3 linked regions of the Lonchura striata genome follow. The protein of the gene in region 1 interacts with the protein of each later gene in a biochemical or structural test. Links are inferred from orthologs where the notes say so. Each region holds a gene or a part of one and is shown on either strand. Other genes may lie near its edges.

Region 1 (7,341 bases):
TCCCTGTACCTCTGCCTTCTCTACCCTTCCAATAAACCCTCTGGAAATCAAAGCAGCCTGAGTGTCCTCCCACCTTCGGTGGAAGCTTTCCTTCAGCTATCTGGCTCCTGAAAACCTGACCCACTGTGCCACTCCTGGTGGTTAAAGGACCCAGGTGCCACAATTTTGGAAAAAAAAAACCCAAAAAACTGCAATCTGACAAAACCAGACACTCCTTGTAGGTATTTTGTGTCTGAATAATTTATGATAACGTCAATATGCATTGTCACTTATTTAGCTTCACTTCTCTGCTATGGGCAAGGTCTGTGGCTTTAAACAATCCTGTTTGTGTGTAAATAAGTGCCCTTTTAATTTGTCATAATTGCAAGTATTTTGTTTTGTAGTTATAAATAATTAACATACCTTTTATGATTTTTTTACTCTGTTTTACCTTACAGGGCATACTTCCCCTTGTACGTGTATGTGCAACCTCCAATATCAATAATAACTGTTATGAAGTATGTCTGCAGGGAAGACAATTTCCCAAAGAATCTTTAAAATGCAAATCTATGCTCCATTCTTGCAAATATGCATGCTTCAGGAAGTGACACTAATATTCACTACTTGCCAGCATAATAATCCAAAGCCTGTACATTTCAAACACAAAAGTTAAGAGAAAGTTCCCAATTTTTGCTCTGTATAACAATATACATGGTGTTACCTCCAGTAACAGAAGTAACTGTGTAGTTACACCATCTGACTTTTGCAGTGTACCTTTTATGTTGAAATGAAGAAGAGTGTTATATTTAATACTGAATGCTTCTGCTAGTATAACTTATTCTACTCGTAAGAGCTCCATGAAAAAAGATGGTGATCCATCCTTGGATAAATGCATACTTAATATATTTAGATTAGCAGCTATTGCAGTTAGGATCATAGTTACCTTTGATCTCAGATTGGTTTTCTACAGCTTAATTCCATGTAATGCAATGAGTTACTCTTGCTTTACATAGCCATGAATAAAATTTTATGTATAATAAATAATTATCATTCTCTAACATGGAAGACGGTAATTAGTAGGTTTTGAGCTTGAAAGGTGAGCAAATGCTGTAATGAAAAGTACAATATTGTGTCTATGTATGTATATATACATATGAATATACATTAAGAAAATTATGCTGTAATATTGAAGAGTAAGGCTATAAAAGAAAAGTTTATCCAATTTTTAATCAAGGTAATACTTATGAAAAGTGTTTATTGGTCCATTTCCATGTTATTTTCTAAATTCAGGGATGGAATACTTCAAACATAAATAAAAAGTTTATAAATATTCCTGACTCCCTCACAGGGTGCTTCTAGGTCCCTAAAAAAATATATATATATTATCCATTCTGCAGTGGACCATGCAATAACAATGCCCATACCAAATATGATACCCACAGTGATGAAACAAACAATTATTGACAATTATTGTTAAGAACACTTTTTTTTTCTTTTTTCTTTTTTTTTTTTTTAGGGAATAAATGGATCTGTGTCATAAATATCATCAAATATGTTTCATAGGCAGCATCTTCTCAAAGTGAAGTCAGTACTTGTGACTCAGAGCAGAACCAGACTCTCATTTCATTGGTTAGATCCTGTTCCCATTACTATTTTAAAAGGCTGCATCCCCAACAGCAGTCTAATGAATGATTTAATGGACACATAGCCTTGTTTCTGGTGCCCCTGTTATTTCTGTAAAGGCTTTTTTTTTCTCAGTTTACTTTTCCTTCATGTTTTCTAATAAATCTAAGCAGTAAATCATTAATATTAATATTTTATTTATTTAAGTAAATCAGCAAGGCAGACATCTCATCCAATATTGATACTTCGACCATGAGTATATTATAAATTGACCTGAGAAATGAAATATATCAGGATGTTAATACTAGAGAACATAAAATAAGGGTTTATTTAGATCCCTTCCATTTCTCCTTAAGAGTCCTTTCTGACAATATTTTTTATGGATTTTGCACTAATAATTATCTTCTGAGGAAAGTTTATGATTTAAAAAATTGCTTACAATTTTTATTTACAATCACTTGAATAAGCGTTTGTAGACACATAAGCTATTTGTAGCTTGTTAAAACATTTAGCCTTGAAATACAAAGTAGATTCTCTTTTCTCACATTTGAAGGATCCCTCAAGATTATATACCACCAATGGCCACACTCCTTACACTAACAAAGCTGTGACATAACTTAAAGCATTGTGTATCACATGAAACACACCAAGGAAATAATCGATACGTTTTGACCTTTTTCTAGGAAGGGGCTGGAGAGGTCCTATTTTATAATAAAAGGAAGAAATAAGTCAAAATGAATGGCTGATGTCTTTCAAATTAATTTCTAAAGGTAGTACCAAATATATCCATGAGTCCAGTTGTGTATTCTGAACCATAACAATTTGCTTTGCTATTTGCTAGAACTGTGCCTGCATGGCTCTTCATCAGTGTCATCAGCTACTGTGTGCAAAAGCGCATTAGATTACTGTGATGCTAATTCCCATTACAGTTTTATGTTTATTGCATGTACAGTTGTGTGTTTATGAGAGGGTTCAGTTTCTGTGTACAGCTATGTTGGCATAAATATACTTATGCAAATCTTTTTAATATGGCAAGGCCTCAGGTAGCACAATGTTCTGAACTTCACTACTTAATATATACTCACTACAAGGATTTGACAAAATATAAATATAATTTAAAATGTATTTCTACTTTAAAATAGCGGTCTGTATGTTAAAAAACTTTCTGAAAGGTATATCCTATACAAAAACAAATTGAAATGGGAAGAATTATTACACAAGGGATGCTGTTGTACATTGTGAGGACTGTTGCACCTAATATTGACCAGTTTTTTGTCCAAATAAACTTAATGTAATCACTGCATCTGCTTTCAGTCATATCCTGTAGTTAAAGCCTGAGCAACAGGAAAAAATAACAATAACATTTTCTTTTTGTACTTATCTAATCAACTGTGGCTTATTCATTGAACAATGATACTTGGAAACAAACTGTAACTTCTTTTTAAAATTTTATTCTGAATTCAATAAAAGCTGATGTAACACAGAAAGTTGGTGGGACAGTTATAGATCATTCAATGTCTTAGCTACAGCAGAGCCTCTGTGTTTGATTAAAAAAGTAATATGCTTATGAGCTCATGTCAGACTGAACAATGGAACCTGTGAATAAAATCTTGAAAACTACATTTCTTAGTTAAAAAGGTGGAAGAAATATTGTTAAAAAGTTGAACTATTGTTAAAAAATATTTTAATACTCAGCAGAGGAAAAGGCAGCAATTAATTTGGAGTTTTTCAATCAACCAGCTGTAATAAGAGCAAGCAAGAGAAATATTGTTTTGTAATTCAAACTTTTCCAGAATTTAATTTTCCAAATAAAAAAAAAAAAATCTGAACCATGCTATGTACAAATATAAAGTATACACATTAAGTGTTCTGCTAAAGAAAGTGTTTGTACTGGGATTGCATTTATTGACACTATTGAAAATAGATAGGGCAGTACTCCATTCTAGCTTCATAACATTAGGTTTCTTTAAAATTTTTGTGTGAGGAAAGAAAAAAAAAAAGCACCAAATACCCAAAAAAGTCTACCAACCAAATAGCACCACCACCCCCCTGCCACAAACTACTAGAAGTTATGATGACTCTTAAGGTTAACATCTGTTTGGAAAAAGAACAAACTAAGCCAGAAGGCAAGAAGATAAAAAGCTCATGGAGCCTCTGCAAAGCCAGAGCCAAGACGCCGAGTGGAGCAGCTGTGGTCCATCTCCCTCTGCAGGGGGTTTACCTCAGTTGAGCTGTCTGAGAACATCGACATCAAAAAAATTATCTTATGTAAAGGAATAGGGGAAACAGTGACCTTGATGACATATGCTAGTCGAAGCAAAGTTAACAAATAGCAAAAATAATTCCACCATTAGCTGAACTTATGTTTTCGGATATTTTGTGGTCTTTACAAACATCTCTGCATTATACGCTTTATTCTTGTATGTATGTGAAACACACATCTTCCTTACTTTTAGTTAACACAATAACCAGCTGCTGCATCGATGGAAAAGTAATTCCTTTATTAATTCCACGACCTTATAAATCATTTTGTCAAACTTCATCATGTGTTGTTTGCTATCTAAGATTTTTTTTTTTTTTTTTTTTTTTTTTTTTTATAGCATTTGCAAACATTTCCTGCGTTCCAGGCCCGGCTCATCTTGTTGCACGAGAAGGGATACGGCCGGTGTCCTGGCGTTCCAGGCCCGTCCGCAGGCGGCACCGCACCGCTGGAGAGAGACAGGGACCAGCCTGCCGCCGCCTTCACTTCGCAGGCGAACCGGAGAGTTGAACCGGACCAGCCCGGCTCCTCGGTGTCATCCCGGCAAGGCGTGCGCTCCGCGGGGAGGCAAACTTCGCGGGAAGGGCCGCGCTGCAGGCGGGCAGGGACGGGGCCGGGCGCCCCGAGCGTGCCCCGCGGTCCCGCGGCCCCCGCCCGCCCCGGCGAGCCCCGCGGCCGGCGGTGCGGGGTTGGGCTTCAGGCCGCCGGGGCGTGCCCAGCGCGCTGCCCCGCGGCGCGGCTCGCTCGGCGCCGCTACTCGGGGGCGGGGAGGGCGGAGAGCCGGGCCGGGCGGTGGGGCTCGCCGAGCGGCTGGGGTAAGCAGGGCGCCGGGCCGGGCGGGGCGAGCGGGGCGAGCCCTCCTGAGTCGTCCCGCGGGGATGCGGGCCGGGAAGGGTCCTCCGCCTCGCTGGAGTTTAAGCGACCTTTTAAAACGCGTTTGTCCCTCGAACTTTTATTTATTATTGTTCATTTGATCAGAAGGGTTTTGCCGGGGTGGGGCCGGAGGAGGCGAGGCCGTGGAGCCCCGGGCCGCGGGCCGAGCCTGTTGCTGTGTCCCGGCACATCCCCTCTCCCCGCCGCCGAGCGGGGCCGGGCCGGGCTCTGGCCTGCGGCGGGCGGGCGGCTCGCGGGCTCGAGCGGCCTGGCGGGGCGTTGTCCTCACGTAAACAAAAGCCGAGACTCCCCTGACACAGGCGCGGAGCCCTGCTGCCCGCTCACGCATTCCTGTTTTACCCCCCGCGGGTGTTTCATGACGGGAGGAGGTCTCCGCATCTGCCGCCGCTGCCACCGACCGTGCCGGCGGCCGCGGCCCTCGGCCGGCTCCCGTGGGCGCCGATTCTCGCTCGCAGCCGGGGCCGGACCGAGGCCCCGCTGCCCTGGCGGTGTCCTGGGGACCGGGACCTGTTGCCGCGGTGGTGTCGGGCTGCCCGCAGGTCCGAGCCCGCGGTAGCGGTCCGGCCGCTCCGCGGGGCGCGTTCAAACGTAGCGGCTTGGGCTGGGTGGAAGCAGAGGGCAAGGGGCCACCTGCAGCTGTGGCCTTTGATGAGTCTGGCTGCTCAGAGGAGAGGGATGGTTCGTTTCCCGTGTCCCCCCTTGCTGCCAGCACCTCCCTATATTACTGGAAAGAGTATTAGGAGGAAAGAAAGAAAAACAAAAACTCACAAAGCCGACCTTTTGAACCGTGTACAGCATTTAACGGATTTGATTTGCCGTTTGCCTGAGAAACATTGTAGTTTAAAAATTTTTTCCCCTTTACCTTTTCTTTTGCTTTTATAAACACTGCATTGTCCAGCTATATATTTGTGTCCTAATATGTCTAGATTTTTTTTTTTTTTTTTTTTAACTATAAACTCTTGGATAGGAAACATCCTTACTGGCTTTGGTCCCAGAAAGGGTGTCAGGAGTCTGTCGCAGTAGGAGAGCAGAGATTTACTGAGATAAAGAGGAAGGATCTGAATTCTGTAGTTTTTGAAATTGTATTGTGTGGTGCCCTGTGCTTTGCCTATCACTTCTGTGTTTCCCAAGGAAACAGCAACTCCTTGGTAGGGAAGAGTCTAAACTGGAAAAGGAGAAAGTGGTAAAATAGTTTTTCAGTGTTACTTGATGCTTCTGTGGAAATTGAAAGTAATTGTAACACTAAAAGAAAAGAATGCAATTGGAATATATTTATGTATTTTGTATGTATGAGACATACCCACCTTAACAAGCAGCATTTTTAGACAGAGCACAATTTTTTGAAATGGTTATCAATTTTTGTTTGCATATTTTTATGTCTCCTATCTTGTTAACAGTAACATACATGTAACATTTAATGATTAGATATAGTGTTACTGTTGGTTTCCTTAGTGCTTTGTAGAAGCTTTTCACTAGGAACTGGATACATTCTCTCCTCTTTACGAAGAAATGCGCTAGAAAAGTTAGATCACTATCAGCACCAGGGAAAGAGAACTGCACTACATCGGTACTAATGGATCTTTTTATTCCACCTGACCCTGGTGGGGTCCTGGTCTTTGAATTCTTCAGGCAGGAACGCCTTATATCTTCTCAGTCATGCAGATAGCTGTAGATGGTTTTGTTTTAACAAGTAGCACTTATTCAGTATATTGAGAAGCATTTTGAATAACTTTTTAATCTCTGCTCCATGTTTCACACACACACACAAAAAAATTGGTGAAGTGCATCTGGTACATTTTTTAATAGGCATTATTTGAGCATCCTGGTGAAGCAGTTTTGGCTAATATAATACCATGCTGACAGGATACTATATTATCATTGATAAGGACAGTCATGTTTCACTGCTGGTGTTCCTGACAAGTCAATACAAAAATGTGCTATTTTTGGCCTTGGCAATAATAGCATATTTCTTTTGTAGGCTACTCAGACCCTGTTCTTACATCTGAAACCCCTTGCACAGTGGTCTTCTTACACAGTGTTATGATTTTCTGTATAAATAACTTGTTATTGTCAATACACAAAGAGAAATTTGTGTTTTAGTTTGTAGAGAAAATGATGACTCTTTGTTGATGCTAAATGGCAGCTGTTTGGAGAGGCTTTGTATGCTGTTGTCACCTCTGTGAAGAATCCAATATACATTGAGGTGCAGCTGCTGTAAAATCTGTGCTTCACCAGGTTTAATTGAATTTAATGAATATGGTTATCAATTGCCTATGCTTGAAAACATAAAGAGCCAGTATTAATCATTCCTGTATTTCATCAGTTCGGTATATGTAGTGTCCCCTATATTCTTCATATGCTAAAAAGATGCTTTTCAGTTTCTGAAGCTAATGTGGAAAGATTCCAATTGATCTTAATTTAAGATATTTACTGATTTTTTTTTCTTTTTTGTAGAAGATTATCTGTTTCATTAACCAAAAAGATTCAAACAAACCCCACCAGAAACTCCCTACTATGTTGTTGTTTTTGGAATACTCTTTGCAAATCAATTTTGAATACACTGTATTACACACATTTATCAGTAG
Region 2 (7,089 bases), on another chromosome or scaffold:
AGAGAGGAGTGTTTTTAGTAATTCATCCTGATTTGTAATAGCTAGCCTCTGATTCACATCCAACAGTCCCTGATGCATGCTAACAGAGACACCAAACTGTAGTAGTCTCAACAACAACAAAAATTATTCACATTTCACTTGCCTCACTTTTAGAAATCAGTCTGATTGATTAACATCCTCAGTTACTACTACATTTATGGATTACAAAATCTATTCAGAACATCAGAGAACAATGGCAAACTCAGAAACTGGGAATTTTTACACCTGAATCAATCCTGAGAACACAAATTTGAATTATGTAAACTAGGTTTTTAACTGCTCCTCTTTCAGACAAAAATTGTTGAAAAGCAGCATTTCTAGGAAGTGTTTATGTGCACCATGCCAAGCATAAAAACCCTACTGAAGAGAACAGAATAACGTCCTACAAAAAATTTCCAAGCAGAGCTAGGGACCAGGGGAGGGGCTGAGATGAATTTGTTACATTGGTGCCTTCCAGAAATTAAAAAGCAATGTGCAGTCTGTTCCCATGCCAGCTGTGTTTCTAGAGACTGCTTTCTGTCTACCACAGACCACATTATTGCCATTTTAAGCTAAGATTTCACTTAATTTCCATAGGCTGGGACAGACAGCAGCTGCCTGCTCTTAGCGCAGACGCGCTGCCTGGGAGTGCAGGTCGCAGCGTGCGAGGCTCTGCTGCCACAGACTTGCAAACTCCTTTGTTTAAAATAGAAGAGCATGGAGCCTACAGTTTTCCAGAGCTTTCCACCTTTAGGAAAAGCAGTGGTCAAGGCTGGTTTGGATGTGACTGATCACCTAGGAGTTATTCCATGCTGAATTCTCAAGGTAGAGCTCACGCTTGGTTTTGCAGATGGATGAGAGCCCTGGTATTCTCTTTTTGTTGGGCTCTGCAAACAAAGATTGGACATTTCCTTTGCTTGATTCCTGCAGTGATGCTATATGGAAGGAAAACAATTTTCAGGTTCTTGGGGTGAGGTGAGATGAGTGATTTTGCAGTCTAAATAAAATAAAAATCCTGAGATAAATATTACAATAAATTCATGATCAGTTGTACATCCAACACACACGCTAGAAGACATAAGATCACAGTTTTTTTCTGATATGTCAACCTGCACAAAGCTGGTTTCTTATTTATCAATGCTTCATGTGCAAACCTAAAAAAATTTTAAGATGCCTGTGCCTCAGTTTCACATATGCCAAATTGCTTTCTGTCGGGAAAGCTAAGTTTCCAGAAGGTACTCAGACCCTGTGGTAGATACTCAAATGTCTACAGCTACACCACAGTAAACAGTGCAGTCCTTTAATGAAGAGCTTATGACTGTAGCTGCAAAGGTCTTAGGCAAGGCAACAGTTAGCTGGTTTGCACTTTACTTTTATGTTTTTGATGTCCTGAATAGAGCTGCAGATTTAAATGAGTCATTGCACACCCCCAACCATACTGTTTGTCAAGGTCCAACTCAGGCCAAGTTTGGAGGAAATTAACTTCTGTAGCTGGTATGCAAATATGACTATAAGTCAATTATCTTACTTCATAAATAGTGAACAGCCAGGGCTTATTGATCTCTCCTGCAGGGCAGTGGATTGTCTGCCAGGGTCTTGGCTTTGAGTAGTAGTTCTCAAGGTCACTCCTCAGAGTTGAGAGATCCCTTGACTCAGGAGATTCTCAGTAAGTGAATAATAGCATGCTAAACTCTGAAATCTTAGCTAAGTGACACAAAAGATTGATTGTGAACATATAATCCTTGAGATATAAACCATTGACTAAGTCTAAGTTTGGAATTAGGCACACATAAACTCCATTATGAGAAGGCACTTAGAACACAAGGAGGTCTTTTCTGAACCTCATGACTCAACAAGAGAGTCTTTCTCCCTGTCTCTCTTATCTGACCCAGTCCTCTGTGCCATAAATAATCAAGTGCACCTTGTCATCAGATCTTACTGAACCCTTCTCACATTTACCATGAAGCTTGACAAAATCACTGGTTTATATCAATAAACCTGTAGCTATTCTCTCTTAGGAGTGACATCCATGACACACCCATGACTGCTATGCTATAGCAGTCAGAGCCCTGAGCCAACCTTCTAAGAAAACAACGGGACACCTGGGCTCCTCACAAAGGTTGTATGTAGCCCTAGCCAAGAGGTGCTGTGCCCTGTTCTGCACAGTGGCTGCATGTCACCACAGGCCTTCAGCTGGGTAATAATTAGTATTGACTCCACAATTGTAGAAGTTTCATCAATTGCTTTATTATATCATCTTATACTATATTTTACTATACTTATCAAAAAACTTATTAACTCTTACAGCTAGTCTGATACAGCTTTGACCTAACTGGTCAATCTATCTAAATATTATCTAGTGTTTATTTAAGAAATCACCCTTTAGTAAACAAATCTCCATGACACATTTTACATGTGCACAACAGCAGGTGCGAGTGGAGATAAGAATTGTTTTTCATACTTTTCTCTGATCTTCTCACAGCTTTCCCTGGGAAAATGCCTGGGAAAGTCTGTGCCTGCTCTCTGTGGCCAGAGAGCTGCTGCCACAGCTGCATTCAGCAGAAGTGGAGCCCACCCTCTGTATCAGATATGCACTATCATATTCATAGCAGTGGCCACCAAATCCTCTGGAGCATGGATGCCAAATTCACTTGGTGAACACAGTACCCTATTTGATTATTGTATGAAAGGAGAGAGGAAATTTCCTCTTCTGGCTTCTGGGTGAGACTGCCAGAGCTAACACATTTCTTGCTAAACTCAGCTTTATCAACTTTTTTACCAGTTTGTGCTGTCTGATAGTCTTCTGGCCTCACCTATGGGACTGGGAAACTTTATTACTACCATGACACATTTCCAAGTCCCACATGGGTATTAGTGGAAGCTACTGCGTCATTTTCCCAGTCTTGCTGGGTTCACCTGTGAGTAAAACTGGCTCCAAAAAACTACTGAGAAAGGCTTTCTGTAACTGTGCCCCAGTTACTGATCTGAATGGGCATCAGTGTGTGCTCTGAGACTCACTTTGGAATGGTTTTGGGTCCATGAAGAGATTAGCACATGTCAGCTGAGCTGTAGTAATTCTCCATATGCTTGAAGTTCCCTGGGATCTGCAGCAGAGTTGACAGTGCTGCACACAGAGCTGAGCTATGCTAGCAGCCTGCAGCTCCCAAGGGTCTGCCAGGAGCCACGGGTGCCCAGTGACACTGGCACCTCTCTGAGATCTCACTGAAAACTTCCTGAGCCTGCCTGTTTAAAGCCATTGCCCTCAGCATGAGGGAAGTCTGCAATATATCTCAGGATGTGCAGGCGAGCAGTACACCCATTCAGCCAAACTTTTGACAACTGTAAGTCTCAGAAAGTCTGTGAGCTGAGTATTTTTAGGTGGAAAATTGAAGACTCGGCTATTTCTTCATGTGTGTCCTGGCAGCAGAAGTATAAGGCAGAAGCAGTGTCAGACTGTTTTGTTTCCCCTTTGCTCTATACACACATTGCTTTACAGAACTGCTTCCTTTGGGATGCCTGCTTGGGACAGGCTGCTGGACTGAGCTGTTACATCCATCTCCTGACAAATGAGTATGACATCAGAGTGACTTCAATTTTTTATAAGTATCTGTTGCCAAGTTGATTCACACGTCAGCACAGACCTGGAGTTAAAACTGAAGGGGACTGAATATTATTATGCCTGCCTTTTAAGGTTGGTGGAATTTCCCCTCTTTAGGGAAAAAACTTCTCACATGTTTCACTCGTATCTACCATCACAAGCCTTAGATTTTGTCTCTCTCAAGCCTGCATCCTGTAAATCCCTGTAATTGCATGCAGCTGTTTGTGAGGCATCCACTGCAAACTGAAAGCATGTTTTGAAAAAGCCCCCAAGCAGAGAACCTCTAAAATAAGCACTGAAAAAGCTGCTGGCTTACCAAAAAGACCCCCTGTGCTCTGCCCTCCCCTGCCCTCCTCTGCTGTCGCTACCTTACAGTTTCTGACATCCAGAGAGTGGGAGGTCTGACAATCCGAACAAGGCAGCAAGGGAGAAATTCCATTCCTGTTGCAATCAGTAATTCCTCCGTGCAGGCTGCTTTCTCATGTGTGTGCGTGCTTGCTTTTGTGCCACTTCAAGAAGGGCTCTGATATTATTATTACTTTAAATATAGCTGCCCTGGGGCGGGGAAATGCACAAGGAAAGAGCCGGCGAGCAGCCTATCTCTCAGAAGAAAAGAGCAAGCCTCGCAGCACAGGAACTGGCTTCACTCAAGTGTGTGCAGTTTAGAAGTCAAAAAACTATTTGAAATAGCACCGTTGTGGAGGAGGCTGAAGAAAAAAAGACACGGAACTGGCTAAACACAGCGAAGAATATTGTAAACCAGGGTGCCAAGTGCATTTATTTGCAGTTTGAAAGTGGGCTCTGAAGTGCAATGTAAGTCTTCCTTAAATTGTATTCTTTTATAACAGTATCTAGTTGTTTAATTTCCATTCTGAAGCCATGCTGAGCCAAAAGGTACAATTAGCTACAAAAATCAGCATGAAGCAGAATGTGTAGTCTCTGATATGAGGCTGAAAATGATTCTGAAATACAACAGAAGACAGAGACTATCAGCCATATTATGGAAGATGCACTATAAATAAAAGCATATTTAATTATTTCGAGAGAAAGACGTTGGATGGAATAATTAATCAAGATTCTTAATAGAGAATCCAGAGCTTTGCTGTTTAATACGGCAAGATATTTTAATACTGCTCTGTTTAAAATTGTGTGATAACAGTTACCAATAGCAATAAGATGTAGCTCCAGAGGGGAGTCCTAGTGGTTGCAAAAGTTTTATGTCTTTTATTTCTCCAACATTTTTTCTCTCTGAAGCCTCTCTTACAGCCCAGTTTTACTATCCAGCTGGATTTTCAATATATGCCAACACTGGACTTCCTATGGAACTGAAAACAAAACATTTCAGCTTTTGGAGTAATTTTGGTATGTTTTTCTACATTGCACTAGTGGCAAAAATACAGTCGACAAAAGATTGTGTTCCCTCAACTTCTGACATGGGGAGCTGAGGAATATAATGCCCAATGGTGACAAAGGGTGATAATTTCCTGTTTTTCTCAATTTATCTCTGTGGTTTTGGACTTAGCAATGGATATTCTTTGCGATGGAGTGAGCTCTGTGAACCCAACTGCAAACTCCTTCATACAAATAAATCATGAGAGAAGATTCTACAGAAATGTTTATGGAGCTGCAGAAATTAATATATCACATCTCTGCAACTTGACTGTGAACTCTGACAACCTAACCAATCTTTCATGCGAAAGTAACATGAGCCCACCGTGCTGCCCTTCACAGAAAAATTGGCCGGCTTTGCTGACAGTAATAGTGATTGTTTTAACCATTGCTGGAAACATTCTTGTCATCATGGCTGTTTCACTGGAGAAAAAACTACAGAATGCCACTAACTATTTTCTAATGTCACTTGCAATAGCTGATATGCTGCTGGGTTTCCTTGTCATGCCTGTGTCCATGTTGACCATACTGTATGGTGAGTATCAGCTGTGTAACCTACTGCATGTATTGATAAGCCTTAAAGATTGCATGCAATAACATCTTGTTGTCATTATGATTTCATTCTCTTACCACAGAAAATTATTATCACTCCATATAAATTGAAATATATGTCACTGGTTAAGGCGTGGAACAGGTGAAGTACTTGAATCTTTTCCTAGTTTATATTTCCAGCTACAGGCATTTTAAACACAGACCATAAAATCAGTTTATTATTCAGTTGTCAGATGTATTGACTCAAAGTGTATATGAAGATGCTTTGTTCTTTCTATTGTTTTCAGATTTTTTCCCTGGCTCATAATTTTCATGTTCCCAATGAGAATGAAGGGTCCTGCCAGTTACTTTGCTCTGCAAATATGCACTGAAACACTAATGACTACTTTTAGATTCAAAGTAGGCATCCCTCTCAATTATTTTTAGTGAAGTAATATAAATGTAAATAATTTTCTTATCACCAATACCCTGCTTAGACAATCTATTTACTAGCAAATGCTGGAATAAATATTGCATGAACTAAGAAATGGATGGGCATTAGTAACATTTACAAATGCAAAACTATAATTTCTTAAGATAAGTTATTTAAGTTAAAAATGACTCACAGTTCATGCCCTTGCAGGTGATTAATAGCACATCTTTCTTCCCATTTTCACCAAAATCATTTGCAGCACAGCTCACACCAGAAAAAGCAGCACCCTTTGTGTTCAGCACTAATTTTGTCAGGCTGTGACCGTCCCTAAACTTCAGAAATGAGCCTTTCAATGCTACTGAATTGCTGCAGTTCAAAGAAAAGCTAGGCATTGTCAGGAGAGTGAGATTGTTCTATTACTTCACTACTTTGGGACTTAAGGTTCAAACGTGAGCCTGTGCTTAAAGGAGATTTAATCCGGAAAGTTGGAAGTTTATTTTCCATTTTCAGTATCTCTACAGAGATAGCCCGCAGCAGCATTTGCAAACTGCATTTGGCATCAGTCACGGTGCCACACCGCGATGTGCCGTGTCAGTGTGCTATTATCTCTGGCGGGAGAAACGGCGTGAAACAGGAATTGTCCGATGGGTGAGATTTAAGTGCTGCGTGATTCCCTGCGACAAGCAACAGGGACTCCTGCTGGCCAGGCTCCGCTGCCGAGGGCAGAGACGGCCGAGCCCCGTGTCTGGGGAGGGATGCGGGGGTGCGGCGCTGGGTGCCGCTCCCGCCCGCCGGGAAGCGCGGCCCCGTCCCGGCGGAGCCCGCGCCGCCCGCCCGCGCTCCCGGGACACGCGAGCCGCGGGCCGGGAGGCGCCGGGGAGCGCCTGCCTCGCCTTTGCCTCCGCTCTCCCCGCTTCTTCCCCTGCTAGACCAGGCATGGAAGCAGCATAACTTGGCGTGAAAAATCATCTGGTGGCACCCACTGGTACCAGGAGAACCATCTTGGTGTGGTGCACCATCAACCTCCAGGATCATCAGTGATGGCATGGAGGGAAACCTCTCCTTCCACAGGAGCATTTTCTTGGCCGCAGCTGCTCAACTTCAGCCGCATCACCCATGC
Region 3 (7,790 bases), on another chromosome or scaffold:
TTGTCCTCTTTGAGAGCTCATTGTGAATACATTGATTTGTACTTGTAGATATCAGGGTTGATTCTGTCTATATGGTTTGGCCCAGATGTCTCTGACTACAGAGAACATTCAATAAGATTATTGTCTGATGAACTGTTCCTGTGCCTATATTAATTTCTCAAATACATTTGAAAATTTCAGAGAAATCAAGGCTGACTTCTCAGAAGTAGTTCAAGTAGGAAGCCTTGATAAAGGTGAAACCAGCTAGCTTGTAAAAGGCAGCTGGGGGGACCTTATAATACCCAGGCTGTCCAAACATGCTCTTTTGACTCTTTACCAACACATTCATTGAATTCTGCAAACCTTAGAGGGCAAATACTTCCATTTCTAAATCACAGCTACAAGGAGGGCTGTGGAATTCTAATGTCTAAATACAACGGAATATTTTCAAGCACAACACAAATACTGATTTAAAACACAACAAAACAAAACAAAAAAAAAACTTGCAAAAAACCACAATACTATGCTGATATCATAAAGATTCATAATCAGTAATATCTGCTTCTAAACAAGCCAAGTCAAAAGAGTTGGTTTTTGTCTTGCAAATAGGGTGTTTGAAAGGATATTTAGGTCTCTGATGTCCCTAGTTTTTCCCTGCAGTGAAGTCCAATTCTAGTCAGCATACGCCTCCTTGGGTACACACTGCACACTCGTCCTATGATGTTTCCCAGTGAGGTGCTGCAGACTGGCAGTGTGTCTTGCTTGGATGCTGATGCCTTTTCTGAGCATCTGAAGTTTTTCCAGTATAAATAAAACTCGGGACTGATGGCTCATCAGGCTAATGTATGTGTGAGTGTTCAAAACTGTAAATGCTTTGGTTGTGCATTTTGTTAGTTTGGCTGGGAGGCAGTTTCTGAGCAAGCTGAGTTCTAAAGGTCAGTGCTGTTGCTTCCCAAACTCCATGCTCTGGTAGCTGCTATTGCACCTCTCTTCTGGCTGGAAGCCCCTCACTCTCAATCTGGTCGTTCTGAACTCCAGACATCCATGGGGTCATGGTAGGTGCTCAATAGCTGGTTATTGGTAGGGGCTGATAAGAAAGACTGAAGAATGATTTGTGATACAAAATGTTGGGAGCTGCTCTGTTAAGCAGCCTGGAGAACAAGTTCAGGGAACCCTGGGGTGGAAGGCTTGGCATATGCCAGAGACTGTAATTTATTTCTAGCCAAGAGTTTGTAGGTGAGATGATGCTACTCTGTATGGACAGTTGCCTGGAGCCTTCTGATGTGGCAAGGTGTTATTTTATATGGCAACGTTTAAAGCTTTCTGAAATTGAGTGTTGATACTCTGTGTATTGTGGCCATCTCGACTGTGGCATGTGCTACATTAATTACCCTTTACAGATTTTGGGCATATGTGTGAAATGTCCTTCTTAGAGAAGCTTTCAAAATTTTCCAATTTTTTTACTTCCACAATTTGTTTTACTTGGTCAAAATTGTCAGTTCATGGTCTATAGAAGAGCTGTTTGCTGTACTGAGTATGGCTCCTACAGTGTGTAAGAAAAAATGGGTGCAAGGCTGTGGGGGGACAATCTCCCTGCCTGTTGTTTACCCAGGGTGTCCTGGCATCTTCCAGTGCTGCTCTTGCCCTTGTCATCTGCAGGAGTTCAGGCGCTTGCAACAATGGATTGGCCAATTCAGTGCTTCACTGCATGAAGTGCACAAGTGAAACTCTGGCCACCCCCATCACTCGCCAGAAGGCTGAAATGATTGTGCTGACATTGCTTTTCACACTGTTTGGAGCCCTTTCCTCTCACTTGTAGGGATTTTCACATGTGACCTGAAGGATGAGGTGACTGTAGAGGTTTACATGATGTATGAATTGTTCACTTAGATGCCACAAACCAACCATGATCTTTTGCAACTTGGTAACAGCAAGGCACAAACCATTCATTGGAAGATGGATTAGTCCTCATACACTACATGAGTACAGTAAAAGAATAACTATAAAGAGAGGTCAAATGTTGAGTGTCAGGAGTAGAGCATGAGATTTTGTAATATGAAGGCTGAGGTCAGTATTCTGAGATTTCTGAGCAGAGATAGCCCCAATATTTACAGGACCCATACAAGTGGGTAGTTTCATCCTGCCAGGCCTCCAACTCTCTTGCTCCTGCTTGGGTGTTTTTTATTTTATTTATTTTTTTTTCCCCCAAAGTAGCCATTTAAACTAATGCTCTTAGTTTTATAAGTCCCAGTAGGGTCAGCATGCTGGATGCTCTTGAATGTGCCTGCTGTCTCTTGGGTAGTTGTTTGTTTTGCATGGACACATCTACCACCTGGGAGCTCTGAGTTTTAAAAGGTGTTAGAGTTGTTATTCCTCAGGTATCATGTAGCAATATGTTTGAATACATGTTTCTGAAAGTTTGGAGTAGTTATAATCAGGTTTCTGACTTCCAAAGTTCTTTTTTAAAAGTTTTTAAATCCCCACTCTAATGGTGTCTGTATTTCTTACGGTTTACATTTATTTGTTATGCATTTAAAGTCTTTGAGAATGGTTGTTTTGCAGTATAGTCTAATTAGAATACATATATTTGGTGGAATATGCAGGTTAGTACAATTGTGATGTGAATTTTAGGTCTTGTAGTTGTTTGCAGACCTCTTTAATGATTCAGCTTTCTGTAGTGTGACACTTCCCAATATGATGGCTTCCTTACATGCAAATATTTTTTAGAATGAAATCTCATATTACACCAAATCTAAAAAATTACGCACTTGCAAGCATGTGCATAATTTTTAGTGGCAGACCCGGTATCTGACAGAAAGATATGACCCTGCTGACCTGAGTTTCTCATGCCACAACATTCTCTGTTGTACAAGATGGAATAACTCAAATGAACATTTGATCTTATGAATTTAATAGGTGGTCATTTCCTCTGAATTTAAAGTTGGTTGGTCCATCAGGTGTTGTAGCTGAAAAATGTAATAGTGCCTGTACACAGAATATTTCTATTGAGTGTGCTGCAGAGGACTGCCTTCTTTCAGGACAGATACTTGTAGTGATGTTCTGGTAGTCACTGTGCTGTTTTTGCATACTAATTAATGAGCTCAGGAAGCATTAAACTCTAGAAATCCTCAGCTATCTTCTGGAGAACAAATTTGATCTTTGATACTCAGGGGAGAAACTTCAGGAGCATAAATCCTTAAGTGTCTCTGCCAAGCATTTTGATTACTACTTATACATGTTTTGTAGGTCTGGTGTTTAAAAGACATTCTTTAAGATATGCAATGCTTAATAAAGGCCCTTTTGGATTAATTCACTGTGGTATTTTTGCACAAAGCTGCATGGCCTGGAAGCAGTGAAACATGCATTGTGCTTGTTTTATCAGGGGATCACGATTTACTAGCCACTACAGGAAAGAAAGTATTTGTTTTGCTGTGATGCATTCTTGTATCAGTGGCAAGTATTTGCTGGTTTTATGTTAAGGGTGCCTTCCCTTTCAGACTATTTTTCAGGAATGAAGTTACAGGATGCTTAACTTACTTTTCAACATAGTAATTTATTTTGGCTTTGTGTGCTCAGGCTAAAATATCCACACTGCTAACAGCTTCGGTCTCAGTGATGGAGGCAGGTATTGATCAGGTTAATTTTGGTGTCTCCATGGCCTTGGAGAATCAAAGGTGCTAACGGGTTGCTGTGTGATGCAAAGCAGATCAACAAGGTTCAGGGCTTCACACTAGTTTGTCCTGCTCAGAAAAACATGTTATCTATGGCAACAACGGCTACTGAGAAAAAAGTGGAGATTTTTTAATAGGGTAAATCACCCATTTTGAAGACTTCTGAGTTTCAGATGCCAGCTGTTGGGGGGTGGGGGCATAGGAGGGAAAAGGCTGATGTGGGCTGGACTTACTGGCATTGTTATTGTTGTATCTGTGCTATGACGTGATGAAAGACAAACCAGAGTATTCCAAGGCACTCAGAAGAGGGGATGAGAAGAAAAGAGAGTATGTGGCATTCAGCTGGTGCAGAGCCTGCTGCCCCAGCCCTGGGGCAGGAGGGAGGTGGCTATGGCCCCAGATGCTACAGCCAGTCTAAGACCTGCTGAACTCATCACAGCTTGAGGATATATGACACATTGGGTTTCAGTGCCTCAGCTTCTGGCTGTGTAAAACCAAGGTGCAAAGCTGCACCTGCTGGGGCCAGTGTCCACAGTGGGAGCAACTTGATTCTCCTACCAAGACCAGAGAGGGACACCATGCTCCTAGGGGGTACCAGACCCTCCTTGCCTGCTGGAGACAATCCCATGTGGGATTCCGGGGGCAGTGGCCAGTATGCCCCATGCCAGGCTGGGATGATGGTGGAGCTGCCAGTGACAGGGGTGAGCAGTCGGGCTGGGTGACAGGGGCTTGGTTGGGCTCCCGGCACAGCGGTGAAGGTGTGCCAGGCCTCCCTCCCAGCCCCTGATGGAGGCACTCGTGCTGGCCGCCCCTTCACTTCCTGACTCCCGGGTTGCTCTCCTTCCCCACACCCGGACAGGGCTCCTGCCTGGGCATATTGGCCGCCTGCAGATGAGCGAGACGCCGGGACCGAAGCTGCGGGCGTTTGCATAGTCAACAGGCACATGCGAGCAATGTGCCTTTAAGACTAGCAGGAGAGCAGTAGTATCTCCCTCCCTCCTGTTAATTGTAGCATGTTTTCAGCCATGCTTCCCAGTCACATTCGCAGGCTGTGAGAGGGAGCAGCGCTGCCGCTCGCCGAGCGGGTGCCCGCGGGTGCCGAGTGCCGCCCGAGCAGCGCTTCGCCCGCGGGCGATGGGGCAGCGCCCGGCACCGCAGAGCCCCGTGCCCCGAGCCCGGCCTGCCTGACTCTGGGTCACTCGTGCTCGTCTCGTGTCCCTCAGCTCCTCGCCCCCGGGCCGTGGCCTCCAGCCGCGGGGTCAGACCTCTGGCCGCCCCACCCTGGCCGGGGCTCCTGCGTGAGCCGCGAGCGGTGCTCCGCTGGAGCCTGGGCATCTGCAGCGGGTGATGCAGTGGGAGCCGTGTGGTGCCTGGCCGGGGATGCTGTGGGAATGCTTGGCTCTCTGAGCACAAAGTGACTGCAACTAGCACGAGCCTGGGACTACTTCTCAGAAGATGCCCTGCGTGTCTCCAGTCATTCCTCTCCGGCCTCACCGCAGAATATTTGGAGTTGCTAGCTTTCTTCTGCCGAGGGGGGACAAAGGCAGAGGCCTCCAGAGGGTTAAGAGCATCTGCTTTTACGCCAAGTGTTTGAGCAGGAAATAATCTGCAGAGATACATGTGCAGCAATTCAACTGCTGCTGCTCTCTCAGGCTGCTGCTGCAGTTCGGTGTGTGAGAGGAGCCGTGCTGCTCACAGAAGATGCTTTCTTGGTGTGCCCGAATCTCCAGGCATGGCAGCAGAGCCCCGGCTGTCTGAGCTGGGGTAAATGTCTCCATCCAAGAGGAATTATGTTGACTTGCTGTCTCTGTCGGCTCACGGAGGTAGGTGCTGTTGCCTGTGCAATATGCCATGATCTATTGCGAGGGGATACAGTCCTCTTCGCAGTCTGGGATATAAAATTTTTAAAAATTTTCCATGGGAACAGGGCTTAATTTGCAATCTATAACGCCAGACAGAAAATGTATGTGATTTCTTTGTGTGCACCAGGGAGGAGAGGGCAAAGGATACCTGAATGATACCTTTTCTGATTGGCAATAAAGTTGTTGCACGTAATTTAAACAAACTACCCTCTGTTTCAGCAAAATGCACCTGGGAGCTTTTACTTCTTCCTCCTATATGACCTTTCGGTGAGGTTGGCTGCAGTATGCTGGGTTATACTTTGGTTCAGAAACTGGGACACAGTGCACTCTACAGGTCCCTTCATTCTGCTCCTGTGGACATGGGGAGGACAGAGGGCACCCACACAGAGAGGGAAAATGCTGCTGACAGGAAGCTGGTGTTTTTTTGAGGAGTGAAATTACACTAAGAGGAAGAAAAAAGGTGATCTTCCCTGTGGAAGAGGGAATGTTGAAGTCCTTAAAGGTTGATCTTGATGTTCAGAAGTAGAGAAGGAAATTTGTTCTAGAAGCAGCAGTGTATGAGTCTGGGATTTGTGTTTTGCTTTCCCAGCCCTGTGAAGAGGAATTTTGTTCAACTCTAACTACTTTACCACCCAGAATCTTTGCTTGAGGATTTTTTGCACCAGTAACTGGGAGAATAAAAATCTGTCAGTGCCATCAAATTTACTTAGGCTTGTTTTGAAAGTTGCCTTCTTGAGAAATCCCTAACAAAATCAACAGCAGCTGATACTGTTACCTTCTCACCACCAAGGCATGCTCTTTTTGGTTTGTCTTGAGATCTCCAGTGTGAGTTTTATTCTGTAAAGATTAAGCTGAAATGAAAGTTTCCATTTTTCTGGAAAAGCAGAGCGTTGGGCATTGGATACCTCTTTGATTTTGTTGGCCTGGTTGACCCACATATGTAGGTTTGCCTGTTGGCTCCTGAGTGCAGACCCTGACAAGGAAGCCTGGCTGTGCAGAAGAGGAAGGTGCTGCCTGGATTATGCACCTGCATCACGTGTAGAGTGGTTTGTGTTTGTTTCTGGCATTGCAGAGCTATTGATACAGCACAGCCAACAGTGCCATTGCTGTGTAACAGTTTCAGAAGTGTTTCTGTGGCACCTTGGCAGAACAAATGTGTCATTCATGACTGCACTCTTCAGGAAAAAGAGCAGCACTGTCATCTGCACTGTAAATCACTTCAGTCACTTTTGTTTTCTTTGCTCAGGTAGCAACACATTCTTAACCAGAACGTGTTGCTACCTGAGCATTTTTGTCAGAGCATTTGTAATTGCCGCCTCAGTTTCCCCAGGGCTGCTGTGCTGTGTATCTCATAAGGAAGTCTGGAGTAGAATTCCGCCCCCTCCTTTTTTTTTTTTTTTTTTTTTTCCTTTCTGTAATTCAGGCCCAAATGCAGTCAAGAACTTTATCCCTTGTCTTTTTGCCAGAATGGGACACTTGTATGTCCTATGCTGGGTTGGAGGTGCAGAAGCAAGTCTGCTGGATTTGTTGTTGTGCATGAATCAAGAAGCCACACTCCCTGCCAGGCTGTGATGATACCTGGGAAGCAGATGCTCTCTGTTCTGAGAAAGAGGATCCCTTCTTAGCCACACACTAGGTACTCCATAGCAACTCTTATTTCTCCAAAGAGGAGAAAAATCTTCTGGCTTTCCTCAGAGTAGTGAAAACACAAATGTATGAACCTTCAGTGAAATCTCACCAGAACTGGTATAAGGTCATCTGAATGACTTCTTTTTAGAACAGCACTTATTAAAATGTGGTGGGCATTAAGTAACACCGTTGTCTGTGCAGGAAACATTTGAAAAGAATATGTATTAGTCATCCCATTTACTGCTGTTTGCACACAGACAGAATGGTGATTAGAACTGGCTGAATCAAAGCAAAATGGTTCTTAAACAAGATTTCAAGAATTGGATTGGGCACTTGCTGGCCAGCAACTATTTTGGTCATCTTTGTGCATCTATTCCAGCAAGTGTCTTTTCAAAAGGTTGTTCTAGAAGAACATCAAAATCTTGGGGTGTATTTCCATGTGCTATGCTCTGAAGAAGTGGATGGGAATATCTTCCCTACAGCCTTACTTGCATCTGCTCAGGAAAAAAAAAAACAATGTATTTGAACCACTGCTCATTTCTGAGCAGCCTTTCTGCTCAGCACTGAAGTTGCTATTAAACTTTAACTATGTGGAAGTTGAGAGTTAATAATGGTAATTTTTAAAACTTAAGTTTATTAAATCTGGACT

Evidence for each region.
Region 2: the proteins of MPDZ (region 1) and HTR2A form a complex in vitro, tested with the Homo sapiens proteins (2 studies listed by IntAct, with this or other methods). The link is inferred for Lonchura striata from reciprocal best matches to the Homo sapiens genes MPDZ and HTR2A.
Region 3: the proteins of MPDZ (region 1) and HTR2C form a complex in vitro, tested with the Homo sapiens proteins (3 studies listed by BioGRID and IntAct, with this or other methods). The link is inferred for Lonchura striata from reciprocal best matches to the Homo sapiens genes MPDZ and HTR2C.

What each region holds. Positions count from the first base shown.
Region 1 is NC_134642.1:20,458,975-20,466,315, reverse strand, and holds the start of MPDZ (multiple PDZ domain protein), read left to right. Parts: upstream 1-4,252; 5' UTR 4,253-4,405; exon of another isoform or gene 4,406-4,412; intron 4,413-4,575; exon of another isoform or gene 4,576-4,677; intron 4,678-7,341. UniProt on the Homo sapiens protein: Member of the NMDAR signaling complex that may play a role in control of AMPAR potentiation and synaptic plasticity in excitatory synapses. Promotes clustering of HT2RC at the cell surface.
Region 2 is NC_134604.1:61,622,302-61,629,390, reverse strand, and holds the start of HTR2A (5-hydroxytryptamine receptor 2A), read left to right. Parts: upstream 1-4,013; 5' UTR 4,014-4,429; intron 4,430-4,870; 5' UTR 4,871-5,140; coding exon 5,141-5,540; intron 5,541-7,089. UniProt on the Homo sapiens protein: G-protein coupled receptor for 5-hydroxytryptamine (serotonin).
Region 3 is NC_134616.1:19,391,263-19,399,052, forward strand, and holds the start of HTR2C (5-hydroxytryptamine receptor 2C), read left to right. Parts: upstream 1-4,714; 5' UTR 4,715-5,473; intron 5,474-7,790. UniProt on the Homo sapiens protein: G-protein coupled receptor for 5-hydroxytryptamine (serotonin).